Linked DNA regions of Caenorhabditis elegans. The protein of the gene in region 3 interacts with the protein of the main gene of each other region in a biochemical or structural test. Each region holds a gene or a part of one and is shown on either strand. Other genes may lie near its edges.

Evidence for each region. The genes of interacting proteins can lie anywhere in the genome.
Region 1: of the proteins of klp-7 (region 3) and air-2, one has a biochemical effect on the other in vitro, tested with the Caenorhabditis elegans proteins (one study listed by BioGRID).
Region 2: of the proteins of klp-7 (region 3) and air-1, one has a biochemical effect on the other in vitro, tested with the Caenorhabditis elegans proteins (one study listed by BioGRID).

The regions. Positions count from the first base shown.
Region 1 is NC_003279.8:5,935,578-5,940,892, forward strand, and holds air-2 (Aurora/IPL1-related protein kinase 2), read left to right. Parts: upstream 1-1,899; 5' UTR 1,900-1,906; coding exon 1,907-1,974; intron 1,975-2,023; coding exon 2,024-2,132; intron 2,133-2,208; coding exon 2,209-2,576; intron 2,577-2,639; coding exon 2,640-2,913; intron 2,914-3,013; coding exon 3,014-3,112; 3' UTR 3,113-3,299; downstream 3,300-5,315. Other genes in the region: B0207.6 (GPN-loop GTPase 2), read right to left, coding at 1-300, 628-826, 984-1,091, 1,209-1,367. UniProt on the Caenorhabditis elegans protein: Serine/threonine-protein kinase component of the chromosomal passenger complex (CPC), a complex that acts as a key regulator of chromosome segregation and cytokinesis.
Region 2 is NC_003283.11:8,219,706-8,225,598, forward strand, and holds air-1 (Aurora kinase), read left to right. Parts: upstream 1-1,782; 5' UTR 1,783-1,795; coding exon 1,796-1,846; intron 1,847-1,890; coding exon 1,891-1,952; intron 1,953-1,997; coding exon 1,998-2,183; intron 2,184-2,236; coding exon 2,237-2,380; intron 2,381-2,424; coding exon 2,425-2,533; intron 2,534-2,575; exon of another isoform or gene 2,576-2,744; intron 2,745-2,808; coding exon 2,809-3,036; intron 3,037-3,073; exon of another isoform or gene 3,074-3,268; intron 3,269-3,332; coding exon 3,333-3,533; 3' UTR 3,534-3,877; downstream 3,878-5,893. Other genes in the region: cogc-6 (Conserved oligomeric Golgi complex subunit 6), read right to left, coding at 1-330, 379-614, 661-1,174, 1,221-1,361, 1,410-1,499; pax-1 (Paired box protein 1 homolog), read left to right, coding at 5,260-5,419, 5,667-5,893.
Region 3 is NC_003281.10:10,802,456-10,812,949, forward strand, and holds klp-7 (Kinesin-like protein), read left to right. Parts: upstream 1-3,469; 5' UTR 3,470-3,474; coding exon 3,475-3,643; intron 3,644-5,026; exon of another isoform or gene 5,027-5,047; intron 5,048-5,582; exon of another isoform or gene 5,583-5,727; intron 5,728-5,885; coding exon 5,886-6,004; intron 6,005-6,144; coding exon 6,145-6,361; intron 6,362-6,409; coding exon 6,410-7,067; intron 7,068-7,117; coding exon 7,118-7,579; intron 7,580-7,629; coding exon 7,630-7,941; intron 7,942-7,988; coding exon 7,989-8,295; 3' UTR 8,296-8,544; downstream 8,545-10,494.

The sequences.
Region 1 (5,315 bases), on a different chromosome or scaffold from region 3:
GTTCAGTTAATGAGAATCCATTTGCAGCATCAACCATTTGAATAACTTTCATCATTGATTCCTTATTTTCAACGGCAAGTGGTACAAATGAAACGAGGTCGAAATCGCTAATAACTCCACAAATTGCTTCATTCAATTTTCGATATTTTTCCAATCCGGGAACTTCATTCAAAAGATCCAAAAGTCGATTGACATCAGGTAAATGGGAGAAAAACTCGAGATCATAGGTCCCGTCTTCAGAGAAAAGATCTGCTTTTGACAGACAGTTTACTTGTGGCATCTCCATTGTTACCATTGTCGCTGAAATTGAAGCTTTTTAATGAATATAATTTTAATTTGTTCCTTTCAGCCACACAAAATTTAAAGTGGTTCCGAATTTCAATTTTTTCCATCTAAAATCAAATAAATAACAAAAATAGGTTTCAGATTAAATGAAAGTTTTATGTGCCAGAAAGATATTGCATTTCTTAGCCAGAAATACATAAAGGCCCATGGAGTTTCAAAATTGTACAGAACAAAAATAAATTTTCATTTTTTGGAGGAAATCAGCTGAATTATATTTGGAAATTTCGGGTCGAGAGACAAGAAAAGTATTTCAATTTTTTTTTAATCTTAATGAACTCTTACCTAATGTGGATAATGCAACAGAAATGAATTTCGATGGGTCACTGCAGTAAAGTGAATCGGCAAGATGTAAGGCACATAGTCTAACACCGGATTTTTCCAAAAAGCGGATAACTTTCCATAGTTCGCCTTCGCTTTTGTATAGTTCCAACTGTCCGGGACAATCAATTATCAGATATTTCTTGTGATTCGCTTCGATTTTCTGAAAAAAGATTTAATTGAATATTAAAACTACAAAGAGGTTAAAAATGATTTCCGATTTTCTCGATTCAAATTTAGAGAATTCCAGATTTTAGCTCAATTGTTGTGAAAACAATTTTTAGCTTTTGAGAATTAACTTTTTCTGCCAAAAAAATTACCTGGAGGAGCCAATTACAATTAGCTCCAAGTGTTTCAATACAGTATTTGAGAGCTCCATTTGGTCCAAGTCCAAGTCGATCCATTACATCATTCACAGTGATCATTTCCTAAACTTTAGTATTTTAAATGAAAAATATGACCTTAAGTATTAAAATAACATTGATAGATGATCTGTACCACGTTTCATAATTATTGTCCTATATTCATTGGAATAAAATACTTACAGTGATATTTACATCAGGTGCGTATGCCATTGTGTCATTAGCAGGATCAAGATTGATAGTGAGAAATGGTCGTTTGGTTTGTGAGAAAATGTCCGTTAATCCTGCACAAAATGTAGATTTTCCAGCTCCAGGAGCTCCAATTACAAGAACTCCGTACATAGTCCAATGAGTACTGAAATTTTCTAGTTGAATCTTAATTTTCTACGGATTGTTTTGATAGGAAAACATTTAAGAAGAACAAAAATATATAAATACAATTTAATTTAATTTAAAACAAACAAAAAAGCAGGATAAACGGGCCTGGCACAGGGCCAAGTACGCATTTACACCGTACATGACGACATATTGCGGACCATTGCATTTTGCCGCGTTAATTTTTTATTTAAACGGCTTGCATTTCTCCTTACTATCCAGCTGACAATTTTTAGTTTCTTTAGAATTATTTGCAATCAAAACTCGTTTTTTGTAAACATATTTACTCAGGTAATGTGTTGATTTCTCACTTTTTTTTGAAATCAAAGCAGAATTAGTCCTATTTTTATTCTACATAAATATCTAAATGTATTCAATTAAAAATTGGGCCATTGAACTTCTAATTAATTCAATTTATAAATTTATCGTGATGTTTTCTTTTAGTTAATTTGTCCTTAATCGTGCCGTCTATTTTATTTCTTCATAAAAAACTTTTCAGTTCCGACATGGAGAATAAGCCACCTGTAATCAACCTTCCAGAGAAGGAAACTGTGAATACTCCACAGAAGGGAGGGTAAGAAATCAAGGTTTTAAAAGTTTATAAATTATTCTTGATTTTACAGAAAATTTACTATTAACGATTTCGAGATCGGAAGACCACTGGGAAAAGGAAAATTCGGCAGTGTTTACCTGGCTCGCACAAAAACTGGACATTTCCATGTAGCGATCAAGGTAACATATTGATTTATTTTGTATTTATTTGAATTATCATTTTTCTGACATCCGTTTTACCCATACATATTTTCAGGTTCTATTCAAATCGCAACTCATCTCAGGAGGCGTCGAGCATCAATTGGAGCGTGAAATTGAGATTCAATCTCATTTGAATCACCCGAATATTATCAAGCTCTACACATATTTTTGGGATGCGAAGAAGATCTATCTCGTTTTGGAATATGCCCCCGGAGGCGAAATGTACAAGCAATTGACAGTGAGCAAGAGATTCTCAGAGCCAACAGCTGCAAAATATATGTATGAGATCGCAGATGCTTTGTCATATTGCCACAGGAAAAATGTGATTCATCGCGACATTAAACCGGAGAATTTGCTTATCGGATCACAAGGAGAATTGAAAATTGGAGATTTTGGATGGAGTGTTCATGCTCCTTCGAATAAGTGAGTTTATCCTCAAATTTAGGAAATCTAGATGTTTCCAAAAATTCACTGTCATGTTTTCAGGCGCCAAACAATGTGCGGAACAATGGACTATCTCCCTCCTGAAATGGTGAATGGAGCCGATCACAGTGACGCAGTTGACTTATGGGCAATCGGCGTTCTCTGCTATGAGTTTCTCGTTGGAAAACCCCCATTCGAGCACGAAGATCAGTCCAAGACATATGCGGCAATCAAAGCGGCACGGTTTACTTACCCTGATTCTGTGAAGAAGGGTGCACGAGATTTGATTGGAAGATTGCTTGTCGTTGATCCCAAGGCTCGCTGTACGCTTGAACAGGTTTGTTATTGATTTCAGCTTAGTGGCCAACATATTATCAGCACACAGAAGTACACTTTTGTAGTGTTCTTAATTATCATAATTCATTAAATTATTACAGGTGAAGGAACACTACTGGATCCAGGGAATGATGGAGGCAAAAATTAGAGCTGAGAAGCAGCAAAAGATTGAAAAAGAAGCAAGTCTTCGGAATCACTGATCAACTACTGATTTTCCCGTCCTTCTTTCAATCATCTCGTCTGTCTGTCAAATAAAGGATCTCATCACATTTACTAGAAATTTTAAAAAGTGAAATAACTTGTCAACCAATTTTTCATGTAGTTTTTGTTTCGCGAACTCTATTATTCCCAATCGTCTAACCCCATTCATTCAACATAAATTTATTTTCTTTTCTCGTTCTCCATCTTTCTCAATATATCTACAACAACTCAATTAGTACCTCCCGAGATTTTCTCCTTTTTCAGATGTCGCGTAGACTCGCACTCGGAGCAGCTGCTTCTTTTCGTTGAGGTTCATTTGCATTTTTAGATTTTTGAGAAAAAAAAAAAAATAAAATTTAAAAGCGACAAGAAAATTTCGATTTTCTTTAGGATTATTTTATCACACCGTGCGACTTTATAGTCCCAAAAGGAAAAATAACAACTAAGCTTAGTACTGAGTACACTTGAAATTTCAAAACATGAGGTTTTTGAAATTCACGTGCTCCAACAATTTCAAGCACTTCTTGTGCCCTTTTTAAGTCCTCGAAAACTTATAATTTTTTCAGTAAGTGGTGCGGGGACATTTTCAAAAAGTTGTTTTTCTCAAACAAAGCATATTTCACAAGATGTCATTCTGGACAACAAAAAATTAAATTAAATTTTTAAATTACAGGGAACTTTTACCGATTAAGCGCGGGCGGTGTAATTATAGGTTTCGATGATGTGGTACTTTGGCTATAATTTAGTTATACAACTAGAATTTTCTAATTTTTTTATTTTCTTTCGAGATTTCTGAGAACACATTTTTATTTGAGAACTCATGCTAATTGCTGAACCGTTTTCTCCGATTTCTTCAAAAATCTCACATTTTTTGTCTGATTAAGAAAATTAAAGTTTCATTTTTCACTTGTGAATAACGCATCTTTTGAAATCAGAATGCAATCGCGCTCCAACGCCAAATAGAAAGACTCCGCCCCGATAATTTGGGTCTCGTTAGGTATTTGCGGAAAATACGTAAATGTATTATTTTTCCAAAATTTTCATTCAGTTTCGTTGATTTCACTCGTTTTCAATCATTTTTTCGTGAAATTTTGTTGTTCATTTTATTATAGCAAAATATAGCCAAAAATAGCCAAAAATTCGAAAATTCTATTAAACTAGGGTAATCGACGAAAATAGCCAAAAGTATGACTGGCGGAGCACTCTGATTCCAATGTTTGTGAACCTTATGATTTTTCAATTAATGAACCTGAAATTTCGACGTACTTAGCTAACTGAATAATCAATTAAAAATAGTCCAAGTAGTGACGTCTCACTTTTTTTCGAATGCGGATATTGAAAAATCAGCTGCTGCCGAATCGACAATCATCGATCTCCTAACACTCTTCTTACCTGAAACTTCTTGAGTCACGGTTATTTTCAACAAAAAATGATTTTTTTATGTGTTGGTTTCTGCGTTTATTCGTATTTGGAACTATGTAGAAGTCAAGTACGAACATGCAAAAACACGATACATAACCAAGATATGGGCGGAGTCTAATACATGCATCACACAATTGTTAGAAAAACAATTTTGATAATAAGTATTTTCTTAAAATATGCTCCTCCCATATCTTGCCTTTTTTTTTGGTGTTTCATTTTCTGAATTTTTTTGTACTTTTCTTTTTTCTCATTATACAAGATGTACGAAATAATAACTATCTTCGAGTAAATGATTATTTGAACTTTTAATTTTTATTCCTCTCTTCGTCTTCTTCTTCTTTTCTTCCTTCCGCTCCAAAGAATACTCACACCACATATCAGCATATTTTGTCGTTTTCCTTGTCTAGTTAAGACATTCATCTCGCTTTCATATTTCTCCGCTTCTTTTCATTTAACAGGTGCAATATTTTTTTTTTTCTATTAACAATAAGATTTTTTTTTCAATTTTTATTATTTCAACAAATAGGCATGTACCAACTTTGGCTGAATTGAAACTTTTAAAAGTTATTTTTCATTAAAAACTTTTTTTTAAAAAATCAATTTTTTACTTTGTTTGCCTATTCTGAACTGCCGAGAATTTTTTTATTTCCGAATAATAATTGGATTACGGTTACAAAACAGAGTTTTTATGACACGCCCGCGAAAAAAATCGAAGGTGAGTTTTCTTTCCTTGGTGTTTTTTTTTACTTTTTATATTTGCTTATTTCAAAGTCTGTAGAA
Region 2 (5,893 bases), on a different chromosome or scaffold from region 3:
TTCTGGTTCAAGAAGAAGATTCAAATCTCCTGTTTTTACAGCAATTGAAATAAGCCCGTGATAAAGTGAAAGGCATTGCCGAACTTCTGGGACTGGAAGGAGATCATAGTGTGGTGATGTCATCTTTCTCATAAGTCCGTCCACGTGATGATTTATACCGGCAATACATACTTGACGAACTGTTTTGACGAGATCTGCGAGCATTATTGTAAAATAACTATCTTTTCGAATCAAAGTCTCGAACTTGTTTGCATAGAAAATTAAAATATTTCCCATTTTGAAAATTGTGATGGCATTTTTTTCTGTCGACAGCAGTTGCTCTACCCTAATCTGTAAACTATTATCATATATTATAGTCCAATAATTTAAACTTTTTACCTTGAACGGCGAAGTCAAAGATTTCAGGCATTCATCAAGAACGATCGGAAGATTTTCTGCGGAACAAATTGAGCTGAACAACTGTTTTTCTTGCTCCGTGAGCTCGTGAATCGAAGTCAGCATATCTCCAACTGCCTTCAGTGGTTCTGCCAACCCTTCAGGCATTTGGACAGCCATTTTGTTAATTTCAACAAACTGATTGAGCAATTCTTGTGAGCGAGATGAAATGTATTGGTCTGAAAACTAGGTTAATGGTGAGTAGATTTGAAGAACTAAACGTACCAATGGCAAGCTGGAATACAGCATCATTCTGACTTATGATTTTGAAAGCTTTAGAAAGAATTTGCTTTTTCTGATGAGAATCAACTGTCAGATTTTGAAATTCGCGTTTCAGATTGTTACAGATAATTGCATGGCTTCTTTCGTCAATTTTTTGCATTTTTTCCATCACTTCAAAAGCGGCAAGATGTCCTTGCTCCTGAACCATATTTCTGCAGTTCTCGCGAATTTCGTGGCACCTCTCAAGAACTTTGAAGAAAAATTCCGATAGATGACCACTTTGTTCACATTCGTCTAATTCTCGAAGCTCTTCACTTGATAAAGAATAGTTTTCGAGAAATTCATTTATCATATTACAACGGCTTTCTATACTCGCTTTCTTCTCCTTCAAGCTTGCTGTTTTCTGCACCAAATCAACACTTTTGAACTTTACAGTCTCCATTTGCTTTGATAAATTCGTGCATGTGGAGTTCATTTTTACACAGAGCTCATCGAATTTTTGCACAATGTTATTTATCTGAAATAGCAGATTTAAAATGAAATGATTTCAGGTTTATTCTAACTTTTTCGAACTCGCTCAAATATTCCTTGTTTAGTCTCAACTCGTATCGTTCTAGTTTATTGTGTAGTTTCCTATCAACATTTGAATCAAGGTTCATATCTTCGACCAGTGGAGTGATGAAATCAGCAATTTTGATGCAATCCTGTAAGAAATGCCATAAGTTTCGTTTGTAATTAATATTTTAGCTGACCTTGTCATTATACAGCTTCTTTGCACATGCAGTAGTCACTTTTTCTCGTAAAGGATTGACTGCTGATGAAGTTTTATCGATTACTGACATTTTATTGATTCAAATTCACCGAATTCTGCGAAAAAAATCGCAGAACTCAGTGGAATAGAAAATGCAGAATTGATTTATTCGCAACGTGTCAGCAACGACACTCCGAAATAACAGAGCGCGTGTTGTTTAGCAATGCCGCTCAACAACCCGCCAAGCAAAATTCATTCAAAGTGACTGCCTTTGTTCTAATTTTTGACGTGTTCTTGAATTAGTCGCGATTTTCTTTTTCCTTTCTCATTAAATTTTTTATTCCTCAATTTTATTATAATATTTCAACTCGCAGAATTACATTAATCATGAGCGGAAAGGAAAATACTGCTCCTGTGATAGACGATCAGAAGGCCGAGGTAATTGTTATTAAAATTAGAAAGGCATCAATTCTAATCTTCAGGTTATTTCACTTACGGAAGATAGCAGACCTCAGAGAGTTGACCAGGCAAGGGAAGAATCATGGTGAGAATAATTGATTTATTACTTTTACAATGTAATGGACTTTAGCTGGAGTCTTGATGATTTTGACGTTGGACGGCCTCTCGGAAAAGGAAAGTTTGGAAACGTTTTCATCTCTCGTGAAAAAAAGACCAAGCGAATCATAGCTTTGAAAGTACTCTTCAAAACACAGTTGCTTCAACTTGGAGTCAGTCATCAGTTGAAGAGAGAGATCGAAATTCAATATCATTTGCGGTATGTTTTCTCGAAGTCATCTCATCCAAATCAATTAATCAATATTATTTCAGTCATCCGAATATTCTCACTCTTTATGGATACTTTCACGATGACAAGCGTGTGTTCGTCATTCTCGACTATGCCAGCAGAGGAGAATTATTTAATGTCCTCCAATCACAACCTGGACACAAAGTGAATGAGGTCATTGCCGGAAGGTGTGATTTTGTAGATATTTCAGAAATATAGTAAATTTCCTCAGATTTGTGCGACAGCTGGCCAATGCGTTGCATTACTGCCATTCGAAAGGAGTTATTCACAGAGACATTAAGCCTGAAAATCTTCTTCTTGATTCGAAGCTCAATCTGAAGGTACGCGTATAAATATGGTTAACTAAGTACTCAAAAAGTCTTCTGCAATGTTCTCAGTGCATCCTTTGGTTCTCCGAGCCGAAAGAAGTCACTAGCTGAAAAAGAGTTTATACTCTGATCACACAGTAACATTGCAATAAAAGCTTAGCTCGAGATGCGTGTGCCGTTCTGCTTTTAATGCGATCTGGTTCCTTTTCTCCTCGGGACAATTACCGTAAAAATTAAATTCAACACATTTTATGCATTCTTTCTAAAAAATAAGACTTGTATTTCAGCTTGCCGATTTCGGATGGTCCGTCGTTGCTGATCACTCGAAACGCCATACATTGTGCGGTACCATGGATTATCTTGCTCCGGAAATGGTTTCCAATCAGCCACATGACTTTAATGTTGACATTTGGGCAATTGGAATTCTTCTCTTCGAAATGCTTGTTGGATATGCTCCGTTCGCCAATCAAACTGGTGATAAATTGATCGCCAGAATCAAGGAGTGCAAGATTTATGTTAGTAATTATGAACTAAATTTGTTAGAATCTTAATAAGCAGTTCTCCAACAGAAATATGTGCATGAAGTGATGGTTTGGGTAACCATTTCATCTTTTCATGTCATATATCTCCTGCCTCTCACGGTTTCATCTGTGAGAAGCTTCAAAGAACTGCAATAGAAGTCTAGCTCGAGATGCGTGTGCCGGTTTGCTTTTAATGCAATATGGTTCCTTTTCTCCTCGGGACAGTTCTCAAACATTCATTTCCATTTTGTTTCCCAAGTAGTTTCATCTAAATTGCTTCTTTTTTGCAGATTCCAAGTGTTGTGACTGACGGAGCTGCCAGTTTGATAAATGCAATAATCAAAAAGGAACCCCAAGAACGTCTCCCACTTGTTGACATCATGGCTCATCCGTGGATTAAGGAAATGAAGCAACGCGAAGACATTGAAGTTCCACTCTTCATTTCGACGCTCACGAAATCCAGTCGCAATAATTCTACAGCCAATCAATAAAAGCTCTGTCTATTGTCCATTAAAGTCTCAACCTTTTCTACTTGTCTTTCCAAACAATTATCATCTGCACTTTCCCTTCTTTAGAACCGTATATCATACGGCTACTAACTTCTTATTTTCGCTAATCCATTTAAGCAATTTATCCGTTTTCATCCTTTTGTTTCTTCTCACACTGACAACGAGAAGGATTTAAATTTATCTAAATCAATTATTCTTTATTTGTGTGTGTGTAAAATCATTAGATTCCCGTGAAAGTACTGTATCGTGTGTTCCCGTCTGCCCCATTAATTTTTTCCCAAATTTCGCATCCAAGTGTCTCGATTATCACATAAACGATGGTGCACCTCTTTGTTCATTGGTTCTCAGAAGAAATACAATGCTTTCTGCTAAAAGCCAAAACTCAAACAGTGGTGGCGGTAAGTAGAAGGCTGCCGCCTTTTTTGGCACTGTTTTGTTCCGCCAAAAAAGTAGCATGGTATGCAAACATTATAACGAGTTAACACTACATTGGTAGGAGTGGGAACGTTTTTTGGAACAGCTAAAGTTTGAAACATAAAGCGGAGGTTTAACAACGTTAAGTGGTATCTGGCAGAGAGCCTTAAATATCGTACATTCGCAAAAACTTTATCCTAGCTAGGTGCTATGTGCTACATGAAAAATTCTAGTTTTTTCTGTACATTTCAGAATTTCAAAATTCGTATAGTACATTTTCCATATCAAATGAAAAAATCTGTAAATTTTGGAACCTCACTATGACTGAGTTCGTGCCGAGACCCACTCAGGAAAACATCGTGTGCCTTTTAACTGATATCTCAGCATTTCGTGAAAATACAATATAAACATTTCTTTCTAATGTTTAATAATAACTGTAATCCTTGAAATGAACTGATCAATTAGATACTAGAATAATGCACAAAAATGTTTAATATTTGCGCGAATAACTGGTCGTTACCATCTGGTTGTTACATATCCGGTGATTACTAACCATTTATTTGATGGAGATTTGGATATATGTAGTCAATTTAGGTGAGTACAAACAAGATGACCCGTAGATATGCACTAGAGGTGTTTGTCAAGTGGTTGATTGGATATGACGATATTACGTTGCTCAATTTTTTGAATTTTTATATTTATCTGTTTTCATAAACAATTTAGCAGCTAGAAAAAAACAGTGACATTTCTCAGGTGTCCGTGTGTTCCATGCCTTCGAAATCGAAGAAAATCACGCAGTCGTTGGTGGAAAAGCAATGCCGTCACATGTGGACTGAGATGTACTAAAAAACCTAAGAATAAATACCGTATCAACACCTGGATTTGACAAGTTTATGTCAAAACAGTTTATTCTTCAGAAATTAACACCACAGGAGTCTATAGGCTTCGAAAAGATTTGTGACGTCAGATATTTAAACCACGAGCTTCCACGACTTCAGATGTTAAAACACACCCGTGTAACTTCATCCTTAAATGGAATCATGGGTAAAACATTGTCAAGTTCAACTGCCTACAGTAACCAACAATCATATTCCCACCGGCTGGTTCCTATTTGGCAAAGTCCCATCGTTTCCCCCTAATAATCTCAACAAATACCTATGCAGCTACTGTTTGCCCCCCCCCCCTTGCCTTATAATAGGCGGAGCCTTGAGAGCTTTGAGATTAAAGAAGCTCTGCACGGACCAGTTACTTTACGGACCACGTACCGCATTGGTACAGTCACACTCGCTCGAGCATGAACTGCGACACCGCTCAACCGTGGATGATGTCTTCTTATCATCCATCAACAACATCTGATGTCTTCTGGACAACAACACCATCGTCTACTTCAACGACTCCAAGCTCTGATAATGGAATTCAACAATATTCGTCGATATCTACGTCATCGGGTTACGGTAAGTACAATTGTCTGTAATTCGGCTTTTCATTTAAGAATTACATGGGTTTTACATGGATTTTTTTAGTAACTTATTCCACTGGCAGTGAAAACCTTTATAGATTCTTAATAATTAGTTACTATATCTTTAAAGAAATTGTCTGAAATCCTTACAGTATGAGATGAAAGTTAAGACAATTCTTTCTAGCAATGAAATCAAGCTAATAGAAACTATCAGTATTATTTTTAACGCAACTTTTTATCAGCCCCTGCCAACTCTCCTGCCAAAACTGCCGAAGTTAATCAACTTGGTGGAGTTTTCGTAAATGGAAGACCACTTCCATTTGAGATGCGTTGTAAAATAGTTGAGCTCTCGAGACAAGGAACACGACCGTGTGACATCTCTCGTCAACTAAAAATCAGTCATGGATGCGTTTCGAAAATATTGACTCGGTTCTCAGAAAATGGAACAATAATGCCTGGAACAATTGGA
Region 3 (10,494 bases):
GTCAATAAAATCATTAAATAAGTTTCAGAAAATTTCAAAACAATCCACTAAATTCAGAAAAAAATATGAATGTCCACGTACACAAGCTTTGTCTGAAAAAATTTTTGAGCGAGAATTATGAATTTAAAAAATTAAAAATCCCGGCTCTACACGTTGACTACACAGGTTTTTTATCGGAAAAACAAATTTTCAACAAGATTCAGTAAATAATTTTTAAAAAATTAAACAAAATTCTAAATAATTCAAATAAATTCTGGAAAAAATTAGAATCCCGGATTGTAAAGGTGGAGTACACAAAATTGAGGTGGCCTACAAAATGAAGACAAATTGGGATTTTCTAGGCCATGGGCTTGTTAAATAAAGCTGAAAAACTTGAATTTTGGAAAAGATATAAAGAAATAAGAAATCAAGAATAACGAACTCGTGAATTTTTTTTGGAAACAAATATATATAGAAAAAGAAAAATGAGAGATAAGGAGGGGGAGCTGTTATCAATAATTGACTGATTGGAAGAAATGGGTGCCCCCAACTGAAAAAGATGTGTTCAATGAGAGCAAAAACAACGGAAAATGATCAGGAAGAGAAAGAGAATGGGAGCGCACAAAAACAAGGAGCCGGACAAAATTCGAGCCAATTTTCGGAGGGTTACTGTAGTTTTCTAGGACGGGCACATAAATATTTTGCTAAACAATTTTTTTGCTAAACACGGACAACAAAATTTCGAGTTTCACGAAGATCTAGGCCAACTTTCAACAAAATTAATAAGATAGAAAACTCGGCCATTTTTTTCCACGGCCACGTATACCATTTATTCTCAAAAAATTTGAAACCCCTGTCAAAGAAAATGCGCTCTATTGAGAAGTCCACAAATTTATGTTTCGTGGCGAGAAGAGAAAACTAGGCCACCAAAAATGTTAATATATTTAGTAATTTGGGAACTAACGGGCTAAAGTAAATTTTAAAAAAATCAGTGAAGCTTGGCCACCGATATTTTATTCAGAAAAAAAATTAAAATTTTTATTTACAAAGTGCGGCCTATTGAGAAATTCTCTAAAAAATCTGGGAAAAAATATTCAAATTTCCAGCTTATCACACTCTAACTAGGATGAATTGCTGGCCGAGTTTTTGCGTTTTCTAGGCCACGTGGCAAAAATAGAACATTATTGCACTGCACAATATTTTACTATAACCAAAAAACAAGAGAAAAAATTGTTTTAACTTTTTTTGGGAGAAGTGTACAAAGTTTAGTTTTTGTCACTTGTTCTCCTTTTCTTCCGCCGCCCATAAACATCTAATGGGGTTATTCAAGTAGTGTCGGAAAATTAAAAAGTGTAGAAAAATTACGTCACAACTGTATTTAAATACATTTTGCTACATTACTTTAATAACCCCATAAGTTTTTGCAAGTTATAGAGACAAAAAGACTGGAGGAAAACATAAAAAATAATGATTAAAGGGACAACCGGCCAGGAAAGAAAAAACATATGAAGATGGGCAATAAAATGTGTGGTGATAAGCGTTGAATAGGCTCTCCAAATAAACTAAAAACTAGGCGTTAGGGTGCTTATTTATTAGTTTGGATTTTTAAGGGGGATGCTCTTTTTGCAAGTTTGCAGGTCTTTCAAAAAATCGCAAAAACCTCACTGTTTTTAATATATTTTGTAGTATTTTGTTGTTTCTACTAATTTTCATATCGAAATTTCTAATAATCCAACTGAATACATATTTTAATACATATTTTAAAATGTTTTTTTAGGAAAAAAATAGTTGAAAACAATGGGTAAAATTTTCAAAAAGTACGAAAAATTCTTTGAAAACGGGCTAAAATTTTGCCGTCCAATTCCTAACGAGACCCAGCGTTTAGGGGTGGTGCAACCTTATTACGGGAGCATAATATTCTGAGAATGCGTATTGGGCAACATATTTGACGAGCAAAATAAATTATAACTATATCTCGTAGCGAAAACTACAGTAATTCTTTAAATGACTACTGTAGTGTCGATTTACGGGGTCAATTTTTGAAATTAATTGCATAAATCATTTGTTCATCTATAGAATATTAAAGTTAAGCAAAAAAAAAGAAAAAAGTTATACGACGAAACGAAGAAATTCATTTTAAAAATCAAGCCCGTAAATCGAGCTACAGTAGTCATCTAAAGAATTACTGTAGTTTTCGCTACGAGATATTTTGCGCGTCAAATATGTTGTGCAATACGCATTATTAGAATTTTGTGTTCTAATGTAATATATTCAGATCGAAAGAGACAAATTTATTTCAAATTCTGCAAGTACTCTTTTAAAAATTCGAAAATCATCACTGTAAAAATGTGTGGAGCGAAGTTTTTTATTTTTTGATGGGAATTACACACACACAAACCGCCACCGGCAAACATAAGTCAATCGGATTAAACAGATTTAAATTGTAAATGGTAGAATTTCAAACGAAAAAATTGCCGGAAACCTAAAAAAAAAATTCCAGAACATGGGGGGAAACTTTGGTCTCATAATCAGCAAGAAAAGTGATAAGGGATCACTTTCTTTAATGGGACGCCGCCGCCGGCCAGTGGAAAAGGTTAAAAATGCAATGTGACAAAAAAATGATGCTGATTTTTCATTTTTATGGTATGTTTATTACAGACTTTGTAACTCTGAAAAAGGGCGTTACATATAGATATTTTGATTTCTTTCTTTGCTGGAAAATAAAATTAAAAGTAAGGTCTCGGCGCGCGAATTGTATTTTTTTCTTTTGCCTTTCAATGTGGAATAGTTTTTGCTTCAAAAAATTCAAAAAAAAACGTCTGAAATTCAAAAAGAATCATTAAAAAAACGATAAAATCGATAAAATCCTTCCAAAAAAGAACTACCAATCAGCGATTCGTTACGCCCAAATCTCAACCAATCAGACGGAATGGGCGGAGTTAAAGAATGCTGATTGGGTGGAAAGTAGGCGGAGTGAATCGCTGATTGGTCTTGCAGTTCTCATTTTATCTGGAGGGAATTCTCAAATGAGAACTGCGACCAATCAGCGACTTCGAACTCCGTACACTCCATCGTTGATTGGTCGCATTTCTCCGTGTTTTTTAATTGAATTTTTCTTGTTTTTTTGTGGATTTTTTAAGCCAAAATGGATAAAAAATAAAAAGAAAAAAGAAAAACCCAAAAAAAAAGTATTTTTTTTAATTGATAAAAATATATAAAAGCTGATTTTTTCAAAAATTCAAAAGTCCTGGAAAATCATATGGAGTCATTCTTTTTTATTTCCCACTCCATCGTTGATTGGTCGCATTTCTCCGTGTTTTTTAATTGAATTTTTCTTGTTTTTTGTTGTGGATTTTTTAAGCCAAAATGGATAAAAAATAAAAAGAAAAAAGAAAAAACCCGTGGCATCATAAATTTCGCATTGTCACGTGGCATTGTTTATTTTCCGTTCGGACAAAAAATAATGAAAAAAATATTATTTCCAATTCGATCCCGATGAAAAGTTGCAGAAGTTGTAAGGAAAATCCTGAAGTGCAGAGAAAACGAGCCGAGAAGCCGTGGCGACGGGCTCCGAAGGCCAAATCAGAAGTCGAAAAGCATGGAATCGGTCCACCGGACAGTGATTCAGGGGAGGAAATATCATTTCCTTGGTATAATGTGACCGGTAAGTGAGTCATCTCGACTTTTTCGGAAATAAGCTGAGAGGCTTATATTTCTTTTTGTCGCATTTCATGAACTTTCAGCCAGTTTCAGTTATTACTCAGATGTCAAACTTTTTCGTTTTTTTGAACTCGAAAATACGATCCCGACGCGACAATTTTTGTAATATGCAAAAAGGCGTGCGCCTTTGAAGAGTACTGTAACTTCCTAACTTCCACCACGATTTTCATCGATTATTCATGGATTGTCTCCCGTTTCCGCAATTTTTAAATGTGTTTTATTTTGTTTAAAAAAAATAGCGTCTTGTGCAACATATTTGACGCACAAAATATCTCTTAAGTTAGCGAAAACTACAGTAATTCTAATTCTTTTTTTTCCATTTTCATTCGTTTCTTCGCATAATTTTCTCATTTTTATTTTTATTTTAATATTTTAGCGATAGTAAAGTAAAATTTTAATCCATCCGAGCCCGTAAATCGACTACAGTAGTCATTTATAAAGTTACTGTAGCTTTCGTTACAAGATATTTTGCGCGTCAAATATGTTGTGTGAGACGCATTATCATAATTCTGTGTTGTAGTAATAGTTTTAGTAATAGTTTTTCGTCAAAAAATGTTCTTGAAAAGTAAATGAAAACTGAAAATTCCGCTTTGCAGTTAGAGTTACTATTTAAAGGCGCATACACAATTTTGCATTCAACCAAAATTTTTCGTGTCGAGACCTGGTATCGTACGTTTCCCAAGTGTTTATGTGCAAAGGTTACCCATCATAATCCTTTTTTGCTCCGTCTTTTTGCACCACACCCAAAAAAAGCAAGAAAGAGCTCATAACCATAGAGCAATGTCTCTCTGTCTGTCTTTCTTTGTGAGCTTTTCATGTGTATGTGTCCTATTTAGAAGCACTGCATTTTCTTTCCCTCCTCCACGTCTTCCGGCTCTCTCGGTCCCCCCCCCCCCCCCCCCAACTATTCCCGATTGCGAAACACGAGCTCTTCGGGAACCGAGCCCCCACTTCCAATTCTTCGTGTCCCTCATTTTATTGCCGCATTCCGGCGAGTCTTCTTTAGTTTCAGTCGTTTGAACATTTGTTCTCGAGAAATTCGATAATTTTTATTAGGGAAAAGTAGGTTTCAAATCGAAAACTCGGCTTAAATCGTTGAATTTGAAGGAAAAATTTAATAAATAGTGTCTAAAATTATAGAAAATTATGCAAAGCTTTGACAAAGCTTTGCAAAGGCGAGAAATCAAAAATTGAATTTTTCTAGACTTGTCTAATTGCCTCTGATATGTTTTGACCTACAATTGACCTACGATCTCAGGCGGGCGCGCACGAATTCATATTTTTGTTTCGCGAAGTTTCTCTCATTTTGTTTTTCCTTCGCTATCATTTTAGGTGGTTTTCGGGTTGACTCAGCCGGTTTTTGGCCAGTTTTTTTTGTTTTAAGTTAATTTTTCTTATTTTGTCACAATTTCTTTTTGATTAATGGCAAATAATTATTATAATCTGAACATTTTGCTTTGAAACTCGAAAAAATCTAGAAAAAGAATAATTGTATCGTAGTCGTTTTCTGATTTTTACATGGAATTCAAGTCAATATTCATGTTTTTTAATGAAAAAACATGAATTTTCTCCAAGAAACGATTATTCATTTAAAGGAACATACGTGCCTGCTGAGCTCGTGTCTCGTAGCGAAATTTGTATCGTAGTCGTTTCCGCATTTTTTAGTTTTTAGACCTTTTCAAGAAATTTTCTCTGTTTTTCGCTTCAGAAAAGATCCATTTTCGCGAACATTTCTACCATTTTTTTTACAAAATTATCCTGTTACATCGATTTTGATCGATATCATCAAAATACACTAGTTTTCTCCTCCAAAACCGTCTGTTTTACATTTCTGGAGCCCACGTTTCTGACCGTTTCGCTCCGTAATCCGTTGGAAGAAGCACTCCTTTGTGTGTCCAGACCCACCCGTCCATGCTGTGTCCATCGAGCGGTCGCCTGTCTGCGTTTCTTCACTCCCCTCGCCTATTTCATCCGTTTTCCTCCCTCTACTCCCCCTTCGAACGCAATTTTCGCGCCAATTTCCCAGCAGCAGCAGCGGCAGTACTCGCCATTTCATAACATCTCCCCCGCCACTGACTAATGTTTTCCGATAGTTTATCATTTTCTTTCATGGGATATGAACAATTGTTTCCTTTATTCTTACGCTCTAATTAACTCGAATCCAATTAATTTGTTATTATTTTCAGGTAAAATGCTTGTCGTCGGGATGCATGTGGAAATCAAGCGGAGCGACGGCCGCATCCACGGTGCCGTAATCGCCGAAGTTAAGTCGAACGGCCGGTTTATGGTGGAATGGTATGAGAAGGTGAGTCGCATCCTTCGAGAAGACCATCACTCGTCACAGAATCATGCATTTCGGATGTGATGCCGAACCAAAAATCATGCATTTGGCATTGTGTACTTTCTTTCTTCTCTTTTTTCTCTTGCAATCTTTCACATTTTCAGGGCGAGACAAAAGGAAAGGAATCCTCGTTGGAAGAACTTCTCACGCTGAACCCATCACTCCAAGCACCGAAGCCTACGCCGCCGCCACAGCCTCCTCAAAAAACGCTTCAAGCGTCAACTGCTGTCAACAGACAAAACGGGATCCATGCGCAGAGCATGATACTCGATGACGAGGATACATTCCTCTTGGATCATATCAACATGATTCCGGCTAAAGGTTTGTTGGAGAGTTCTGGTTTAATATGAAACAAAAATTGATTTTCAGGTGCTTCTGCCAACAAACGACCAACGGGAGCTTTCACGCAGCACGTTCCTGTTCGTATGGCTCCTCCATCCGAAAAGCCTCTCCCGACTCGTCGTGCTCCGTCACCGAAGGAGGATGCTGCTCCTGCACCGAAGTCTACTCGTACGACAGCAGCCTTCAAGCCAGATCTTGATAGTACGGCGATCACGGTTCCGAAGCACACTGCAAGGCGCACAGTTGTGGTAGCTCCAGCTCCGGCCCCTGTTCCTGCTCCACCAATCGCCAACATGACATCACAGCGAGCCCCGTCTCCAGTGGCAAGAGTTCCGTCGCCGAAGAACGTACCGCGGTCGTATCCACAACAGGATGTTCAGCCGTCGAATGGGAACTTTGCTTTCGCGGAGATGATTCGCAACTACAGAGCCCAGATCGACTATCGTCCGTTGAGCATGTTCGACGGTGTCAACGAGAATCGGATTTCCGTTTGCGTTCGGAAGCGCCCACTGAACAAGAAGGAGCTGACGAAAGCGGAGGTCGATGTGATCACGATCCCTTCTCGTGACATCACAATTCTCCATCAACCACAAACACGTGTCGACTTGACAAAGTATCTGGACAATCAGAAGTTCCGATTCGATTACTCTTTCGACGAGTACGCCAACAACGAGCTGGTCTATCGGTTGGTTTTTTTAATTTTTCAGTTTTCGTTTTTAAAAATGATATTTTCAGCTTCACTGCAGCACCACTCGTGAAAACCGTCTTCGACAATGGAACTGCGACGTGCTTTGCCTACGGTCAAACAGGATCCGGAAAGACGCACACAATGGGTGGAGATTTCTCCGGAAAGAAGCAGAATGCGTCGATGGGAATCTACGCGTTGACGGCACGAGATGTGTTCCGGATGCTCGAGCAGCCACAGTACCGTCGCAAGGATCTCTCGGTGCACTGTGCGTTCTTCGAGATTTACGGAACGAAGACGTACGACTTGCTCAACGATAAGGCCGAGCTTCGTGTGCTTGAGGATAAGATGCAGAAGGTGCAGGTTGTTGGGCTCAAAGAGGAGCAAGCGCACAATGAGCAGGATGTCTTGGAGCTCATCAACAAAGGAACTCTGGTCAGAACCGCTGGAACCACTTCGGCAAACGCGAACTCGTCGCGTTCTCACGCCATATTCCAGATCATTCTTAGACAGTTAGTTTTTGTTTTTACGTGAAGATTGCTTTAAAATTAATTATTTTCAGAGGCAAAAAGGTGTGGGGCAAGTTCTCGTTGATCGACTTGGCTGGAAACGAGCGAGGACAAGACACGAGAGAATGCGATCGTGACACGCGGAAAGAGGGCGCCAACATCAACACATCGCTGCTCGCACTGAAGGAGTGCATCCGTGGAATGGCTCGCAACAGCTCACATGTCCCGTTCAGACAGTCGAAGCTCACGATGGTTCTCCGAGACAGCTTCATCGGTGAGAAGTCCAGGACAGTGATGATCTCGATGATTTCGCCAGGGATCTCGTCGAGTGATCACACGCTCAACACACTTCGCTACGCGGATCGGTAGGAATTTTATTTATTTTTTGCTAAAAAAAATTCACATTTTTCAGTGTCAAAGAAATGGGAACCGACGGAAGCGGCGAAGCAACCCCAATTCGAGACGAGGAATTGTTCCTGCCCCCATCGGCAGACAAATCGGATGAAGAGTACGATGAGATGGTCGAGAAGCAAGAACATCGTCGAGTAGCGGTCGATCACGTCCGGAACCTGAAAGATATGTCTGAAAAGATCATACGCGAAACGACGATTGTCCTCTCCAACGAGCCGAGTGCTGCCCAGAAAGCCGAATGCCTCGCCAAGCTTGATCAACTTGCGCAGATAGTCTCGAACACCCGTGTCGCCGTGGAAAACGTCTGATTGCTGATTCCCGCGACGATATGCTACCCACTTCATGTACCATGATTATTACTCCCCGCCCCCCTCATTATTCACCATTTTCTATTTATTTTTATCGCATTCCTCCAATATTTTACCGTATTTATTTCATTTAGGGTATGTGAAAATTATTTGACCCTCCCCTTCCATCTTTTTCCCCTCTCGTTGTGAATATTTTACGGGTCCCCATTTTTTCTCGGTTCCGTTTTAAATGAACCATTTTATTCGTTTAATCAGTGTTCAATTTGAAGGTGGCTGTTCCGGAATTCATGCACAATTAAGTCGTTCTCTTGAGGCCCCACGAAAAGGGGAGCAGAACGAAAAGGGGATCTGCAAAAAGGAGATCTGCGAAAAGGGGAGATACGAAAAGGGGAGATACGAAAAAGGGGAGATACGAAAAGGAGATCTGGCACTGTGCCAAACGCTATTTTTCTCGAAGAAAACAATACAACGATGCTCCGATGTTACGCGTCGCGTGTTGTTAAGCGTATCTTCTAGAAGAAAATTTCAAAAATCAACGTGCGTTGCGTGAGAAAAATTGCGTTTTGTGCGTTTGGCACAGTGCCAGCTCCCCTTTTCGTATCTCCCCTTTTCATATCTCCCCTTTTCGCAGATCCCCTTTTTGCAGATCCCCTTTTTGCAGATCCCCTTTTCGTTCTGCTCCCCGTTTCGTGGGGCCTCGTTCTCTTCAAAAAATCGTTGTGATACCCAGCATGCTCCTTTAAACTTGCGTGGGATCCTGGTTTGTTCTGAGTTGATGTTAGGCTGTAATTGCTCGTTCTATAATAACGAGACGTGGTAGTCGGTCTCGACACGACACATTTTAATTAAATGCAAACGTGTGCGCGCCTTTAAAGATTACTGTAATTCAAAATGTTCGTTACTGTAGAATTGTCATCGATTTTTCATGTGTTTTTCACAATTTGTTAAAAATTCTGTGTTTTTAATAGTTTTATTTAACTTTTTTCAATAAATAAATATATTTTTGTCGAAAAACGATGAAAAATCAATGAAAATCCCGCACCAACAAAATTTTGGAACTACAGTACTCTACTCTTTAAAGGCGCACACCGTATCGCATTTAACAAAAACATTCTAATTGTATTTTATATTTTTCATAAAAAGAAAAGCTATAATAGTTTTGAAACTTTTTTATTTCCATCGATGGCGCACACGACACTGGAGGACAAACCAAAAATTACAATTAATATCGATTTTTAATGAGAAATGGGAGAGACAACGTACACGAATTTAGCAGAAGTTTTCTTTTTTTTTAATAGAAGAAACCTAAAGGAAATGTAATAATATTTCTAACAAATTTGTCTGATCACCGTCAACAAGAGGATATAGAAGAAAAAACAAAGAATGATGAGTTGAGCAAAGAAAAAAGATCCTAAAGATCTCTAAAAGAGATCCTTTCGATTTCGGGTCTCGAAACGAAAACGATCGCACTACAAAAGAAAAAAAATTGGAAAACTTAGAAAATATGAAAGAGTCTGAAAAATGAGATGGGCGGCGGCTGGGCTCACTCTGATTGAGGGAGCACTGTCATTTTTAGTCGCGTTTATCCTTGATTGGAGCTTCAACTGAAAATCACCAAAATTATTTCTTTTTCCAGGGAAATTTAGTTTCAAATCCTGCATTGCCATGGACGAGATCGACAGTCGACAAAATTGCACACCATTCGGTAAAGAAAAGAGGCACTCCCTGAACAGACACATTGGTTAGGTTAGAGAAAAAACAGAAGGAAGTAAGGTTTTTTAAAGGATCACTTTTATTTGTGAGCTCCTAATAGATTCACACGCAACAAAAATTAATTTAAAAAAAGGATAATAATAAATTATTATGAAAAAAGGGGAGAACAATGGGGATGTGGAGAGCGAGAGACGTAGAACTTTCAGTGGACAAGAAGGAAGGGAAACACAAAAAATTAGCAAAAAAAACATATATATTTGTAGGGAAATTGTGGCGATTTGGACAAAATACAATGAGCAACGAGGAAGAAATCCTAAAAGTAGGGAGAGGGGGGTTTACACGAAGGATTATGGATCAGTTAACACACTGCAGAGAGAAAAAGGGAAAAAGGCCCAAAATGATTAGAACAAGAAAGAGAGAGAAAATAAAGAGAAATCATCACAAGTTGTTTGAGAGGCGGTTGGTTTGGGGGTTAGAAGAACTTCA